Linked DNA regions of Yarrowia lipolytica. The protein of the gene in region 2 purifies or fractionates together with the protein of the main gene of each other region. This does not show direct contact. Links are inferred from orthologs where the notes say so. Each region holds a gene or a part of one and is shown on either strand. Other genes may lie near its edges.

The links. Proteins that work in one complex are often made in the same cells at the same time.
Region 1: the proteins of YALI1_F19106g (region 2) and YALI1_D24941g purify together in Saccharomyces cerevisiae (affinity purification with mass spectrometry; 3 studies listed by BioGRID, with this or other methods). This does not show direct contact. The link is inferred for Yarrowia lipolytica from reciprocal best matches to the Saccharomyces cerevisiae genes NOP15 and LOC1.

What each region holds. Positions count from the first base shown.
Region 1 is NC_090773.1:2,492,122-2,495,310, reverse strand, and holds YALI1_D24941g (uncharacterized protein), read right to left. Parts: upstream 1,229-3,189; coding exon 638-1,228; downstream 1-637. Other genes in the region: YALI1_D24918g (uncharacterized protein), read right to left, coding at 1,432-3,189. UniProt on the Saccharomyces cerevisiae protein: Required for efficient assembly and nuclear export of the 60S ribosomal subunit. Involved in asymmetric localization of ASH1 mRNA.
Region 2 is NC_090775.1:1,908,886-1,912,085, reverse strand, and holds YALI1_F19106g (uncharacterized protein), read right to left. Parts: upstream 1,483-3,200; coding exon 655-1,482; downstream 1-654. Other genes in the region: YALI1_F19126g (uncharacterized protein), read left to right, coding at 1-339; YALI1_F19090g (uncharacterized protein), read right to left, coding at 1,914-3,023. UniProt on the Saccharomyces cerevisiae protein: Involved in the biogenesis of the 60S ribosomal subunit. Required for pre-rRNA processing and cytokinesis. Associates with the precursors of the 25S and 5.8S rRNAs.

The DNA.
Region 1 (3,189 bases), on a different chromosome or scaffold from region 2:
CGCATAGCAAGTGAGGAAGAGAAGCCCAGTGAAGTAAACTGCTGTATCTGAATGTGATAACGTCGTCTCGAAAAGTGACTGCAGTATGTACTTGTAGCTCAGAATTTTTATATATACAAGTACAAACTGTAGCAAGTGTATACTTGTGTAAGCTGAGAACACCTGGTTAAACAGTTGTTGCCAATAGTATATACAGCCTTAGGAAGTATTGATGTATTGATGTAAAAAAAAATAGAGTACAAGTACAAGTACTCCCACTTGTACTTGTACTTGTACAGTTGATTCATATATACTACAGATATCCCATCCAACAACTCGTTGATTACTCTATATACCCGTTCCACCTTCAAGATCAAATTGTTGTTCATATGTATGATTGATTAGATATAGTCAATGGAACGCCTTACAGCCCACTTCTGAGAACACCACGTCCGAGAGTAGCACAAACCAGAAGGGTGTGGGCTTGCTCATTCGTCAGAAAGAGATTCTGACAGACATCTCGTCAATTACCGTCAATTACCTTCAAACTTCAAAAGATGCTGTACCTCTTGAAATACTCCCGGAATCACAACTACCGTCCTCGTCTCCCCTCATCCCTCCAGATAAACAAATGCATATAGTATATACCTCCCGATAATTAAGCAAAGCTGACGCTCTTCTTCTTGGAATTTCCCTTGCCCTCCTCCTTCTTCTTGAGCTCCTCCATCTTCTTCTGCACTTTGTCAGCACTCTTGCCTCGGCTGGTCTTTTTGATTTCCTTCTTCTTCTGCTCGATCTCGGCCTCCTTCTCAGCCTCTCGCTTCTCAATCTCCTTTCGCTTCTGCTCTCGGATCATCTCCAGCTGACGGGCCTTTTCCAGCTTACTGGCGTTTCGAGAGTCAATCTTCTCGTTGACAATGCTAACTAACAGGTTCATTTGGTCGTTATCCACAAACTTCTTGCCCTTCTTGCCTCTCAGTGCCTTCTTGGCTCCCTCGGGATCGATGGCCGTGTTCAATTTGGGGATTCCCAGTTCCTTTTCTGTGTACACTCGGGCCTTCTTGACCTTGGGCTTGCCGTTGTCTTTGGGCTTGGCCACCCGGTTCTTGAACTTGCGGGGCTGCTCGTTGGCGTTGTCGTAGTTTTTCGAGGTGTGTGCGAGCTGGTTTCGAGCCTTTTTGTCGCCGAAAACCTCACTCTTGACCTCTCGCGCGCCGGCGTTCTCCTTTCGAAATCGTTTGGGGACCATGGCGTGTGTATGAGATGTATAGGTCTGGTGCTCTGGTCGAGAATCGAAATCTACGGCTCGTGCATGCACAATTTTTTTAAGGTTGGAATAATTTTATGAAGATAATGTATGTGGCGTGAAGAGTTTGTGTGTTCAATTCCGATAGATGCGATTAAAGAAATTTACTTTGTAATTATGTCAATTGGTAAACCAAGACCAATCTGCTAGTCTAGATACCAAGCGTAGACGGTATGGCAACCGCCCTCGATCCCCTTGACATACGCCCATCCTTCGTCCATCTCGAGATTCAACAGATTCACATTGACACCATTGACAGTCATCTTCAGCTGCTTACCGAGAATGAGAGGGACACAAATTTCGCCAATAGTCCCTGGAGTAGACTTTACTGCAATCTGGAGCAGGTTCTTCGAGTCCCGCTTCCACCCTCCAACGAGATACCCTGTCTTGGCCGAAGTAAACCCAGTAATGCAGAAATCCAAATCAGCCAGAGTAGGCTGAAGAGTCCAGGTCACGTGGTTGGGGTTGGTGAAGCGCAGTCCACAGATTTTGTAGCTGAGAAAGCTCGTGGGACCTGTAGACCAGGGGTGGCTGTGGCTGATGTAGCTGCTGTCATGCTTATCGGACGGATAAGAGCAGGTTCCGTCCTTATAGAAGCCCTCCACAAGACTGGATTTGACACTCCAGGGCGCAGACAGAGCGTAAGACCAGGTCTGGCGAATAAGAGCTAGTGCTCTAAGGGTTCTTCCAGCTTGGTGATGAGCCATAACCTCAATACCACTGATAAATGTGCTGATCATGCCGTTACTCTCAGGGTTGATAGGTCCAAATTGGTTCCAACGAGCAAAGAGCCTCTCAGAAACAGTCTTTGACCGTTCACCATCACACACCCCATAGTAAATTACCAGGCAGTTGCCATCTTGGGGGTAGAGTGTTGACGAGAGGTTATCTTTGAAGAGACCTTTCTCTGCGTCCCAGAGCAGCTCGTTGATACGCACGTGCAGACTCTCAGCGGTATTGATCCAGATAGCTAGTTGAGCTTCAGGCTCTCCCAAGAGGTTGCCAATCTCGACCGAGCACACTAAGCAGGCATAAAGAAGCACGTTCAAAGAAAGAGAATGACCCTGAAGTACAGACCGGCCCCAATCAAGACCACAAACAATCTTGGCCAGTCCGTAGTCAGAGTCGATCCAGCTCATACCCAGTTCCACTCCCTTTTTGAACGGAACCCATAATTCTCGCACTCGCTGGAAATCTCCACTGTGTTGCCACAGCTCATACAAGCCCAGTAACCCCCACAAGTGGAAGGTATCGGAGCCGTAAAGATCAGCAGGCTTGCAAGCGTAAGGAAGACGTCCATCAGGCTGTTGGCCCGCAAAAATCCAATCAATTGCAGTTGCGGTGGCAGCCGAATTGACACCTCCGAAAGCACAGTGGTAAACTGAAGTGCTAATGAGCCGATCACCAGACCAGACGCTACGGTCTCGCTTTGCACCGTCAGTAAGCACCTCCAGGCCCTGACTTACATGACCAGAATTGTCCCATCCACGAGATTTGACGACGTAGTCACTCTTGCGACCCTGGACTGACGATATGGTCGCAAGCTGGATAGTGTAAGCTCCAGCGTACCAAATTTTGTTCAGCAGAGGATCACTGGAGTGGAAAAACCCAGAGTATTTGTTGAGGGAGGCAGAAGAAGGCATCTGGGTCATTTTGCAAGACACAGATGTCACATGTGCAATGCAGTCACGGGTTTTGCTCGCTACAAACACTGTCAGGTATCTAAATGCTCCTCTCAGCTTCTCCACAGGCATTGTGTATTCGGAGATGCCTGGGTATACCTCGACAGTCACGTGGCCATCGGTGACCTTGAAGTCGACAGATTTGTCCGAGTTTCTGCCAACGAAATCGCTTGATTCGGAGAAGGCGAGTCCCAGAATTGTCTTTGAGCTTCTGGGTCCAAA
Region 2 (3,200 bases):
AAGAAGTCCATTCTGTCGCTCTATGCCAACTCACGACAGGCACCCGTGGTTCAACAGCAGCAGCAGCAGCAGCAGTTTCAACAGCAGCAGTTCCAAGCTCAGCAGCAATTCCAACAGCAGCAACCACAGTTCCAGCAGCAACAGGGAGGGGACTTTGGAGGTTTTGGAAACATGCAGCAACAGACCAACAGCGGTTTTGGGAACATGCAACAGGCTAACAGCGGATTTGGCGGGTTTGGTGGAGCTCCTCAGCAGCAGAACAACGCTCACAACGACTGGGCCGATGCCGCCGCTCCCAAGAAGCAGGAGGATGACGTTTTTGCCAACGTCTGGAAATAATAATTTTAATACACTTAGCTAATAATTAGATATCGGTCATAGATCCATCAACCGTGAGCATTGAGCAGACCAATCCAGTAGCACCAAGCATCGAACAAAGGAGCCAGAGTAACGATAACTTGCGACATACGAATTACGTATCTACGCTCAAGACTGACTGTCCATGATTCCAACTACAAGATATAAAGCTCATTATTAATATTACAGGTTTATTAGACCTAACTAGTAGTAATATGTTTCCCCATAAATATACGAGACATGCAACAATAAGATAATTCCGACTCCAAGATCCAACATGAGACTTTTCTTTCTAAACTAAGCCAGAGAAGTTCTCTGCTTCTTCTTCTTTGCACCCTCGGCGACTCCGGCAGCAGCCTTCTTGGGCACTCGGACGTCAGAGACGGGGGTGTACTTGTAATCGATACCCATCTCACCAAGCTTCTTCAGCTTGGCATCGAGCAGAGATGCAGACTCTTTCTTGAGCTGGTCCCACTTTGCTCGGGATCGGGGTCTCTCATTCTTGTACTGAGCAACCTGAGCTCTTGGCAGGACTCGGAAAGTCTTGTTAGCTCCCTCAAAGAGAGCCTCGTGAACCTCATCGTCAGGAACAACCTTGCATTTAAGAATGTGGCCGAAGAGCAGGTAGTTGTTCATGGTCTCGGCAGCTACCTGGGCCACCTCCTTGGACTCGAACTCGATGAAGGCGTAATGCTTGGAGGCACCGGTAGTCTTGTTTCTGGAAAGACGCAGTCGAGAAATATCACCAAACTGGCTGAAATATGAGTGCATCTGCTCCTCGTAGAAACCATGGGGGATTCGACCCAGATAGATGACGCCGGTTCCAGACTTTTTGGATGCCTTTGTGGTAGCAGCAGCTCGATTGGACTTGGCTACTGCGGTCTTCTTGACGGTAGCAGGGGTATCATCCATAGTCTCATCCTCGTCATCTCCATTCTCAAACTCCTCTTCGTCGTCACTACTCTCAAATCCAGCCTCATCCTGTTCCTCGTCCTCCGAGGAAGAGAATTTGGAGAAATCGTCGGAGGTGGCGGGAGCAGCGACCTTAGTGGCGGTCTTAGACACTCCAACCTTCTTGGTTCCGTTGGAGGACTTGAGGCCCTTTTTTAATGCACTGGACTTCATGGTTGTGTTTGTGTGTATGAGAGAGGAAATCTGCACCTGTTACCTCACACAAAATATTTTTTTTTTACTGCTGGGACAGAATTTTTGCATAAGCTTCAATGCCGAAGCTTATCTGCAGCTGTGATACATTAAGAGTGAAGAGGCTGACTAAGCAATAAGGGTCATTATAGAGAGGAAAACAATAATGATGACAAAGATACTCGTACACTGTTACTCGTGTATTCACGACATCAACGATATGCCTCAGGGATGCTCCCGGATGATATGACTTATCAATAGCAGAAGTAACACTACAGGGAAACTAAAAATATATATACGCTACCACGTACACGAAAAACTATGAAATCAAAGCTACGATGGCAACATAATTTTGGTCTATTACTACCACGGATGGTGGATAAATTACTTTATAGAAGTACTCGTCGAGACTCTTACTTCTGGGCAGGGGGGGCGCCACCAGCGGTGGGGAGACCAACAATACCCTTGAAAGAGTCGTAGATGAGCCACTGGAGACCAGTGAGGGTACCGACCATGACGATTCGGACACCGAGACCGTTCCAGAGACCACCGAAGCCAATCTTCTTGTAGATTCGGGAGACGGCCTGGCCGGTGGACTCACCGGGCTGCTTCTCGGAGTTAATCTTGGAGACCATAACATCAGCGGGGTGGGAGACAATAGCACAGAAGACACCAGCAATGTAACCACCGAGGAAGGAGACACCAGTCTGGGCAAGGAAGGAGTAGTCCTTCTTGGGGTAGGGCAGGTAAGAGTAGATGAGCTCAACGGTTCGCTCGAAAGTAGCGAACTTAACCATGGTGTAGGGAACCTGTCGGGCCCAGAGGGGGGTAAGACCCTTGTAGAGGCCGGCAACACCCTCAGCGGCGACCATCTTCTTCATACCATCGAAAGCACCGGTAGCGAAGGGGGGGATGGTGGTCTGGGTCTTGACCTTGACGGCCTCCCAGGGACAGAGCAGAATATCAGCGAGAACCTCAGCGGAGGCGGAGGCAGCGAGGTAGACAAAGGTCTTGTACTTCTCGGCGTTCTCGGCGCCAACGAAGTCACCGTACTTCTTCTTGAACAGCTCGTAGAAACCGTACTTACCAGCACCCTGGAGAGAGTAACCGATAAGAGTGGCACCGACACCGGTCCAGATACCACCCATACCCTCAGAGGCAATGATGGATCTCCAGGCCTGCATGTTGGAGGAGTAGAGAGCGGGGTTCACCTGTCGTCGGCACTTGACGAGATCAAGAGGGGTGACGAGAGCGTGGGTAACACCACAGGCGAGCATACCACCGGCAACACAGGTGGCGTAGAACTCAGGGGAGTAGAGCTTGATGCCCTTGGCCTTCTGGGCCTTGATGGCATCGCCGGCCTTAGCGACCTCGGCCTTAGCATCAGAGACGAGAGCGTCAGCCTTCTTCTCGACCTTCTCGACGGTCTTGTCGAGAGAAGATCGGACGTTGAAAGCACCAGCACGGGCGCCGTTGGGGTCGAAGGAGGCCTGAATGGCGGAAACAGATGGGAAGAGAGCCATTGTGGTGATTTGATTCAGACTACTGATGGAGAAAAGGAAAACCCGGGAGGAAGGGATGACGAGAAAATAGGAAAAGCTGGAACCCTAAATTTGACCCAATAACAACGCGAGTTGAATTTACCTTGTCCAATCCAGAGCTTATTTTCAGCAAATCGGTAGTTGCACACAGGGAAAGAG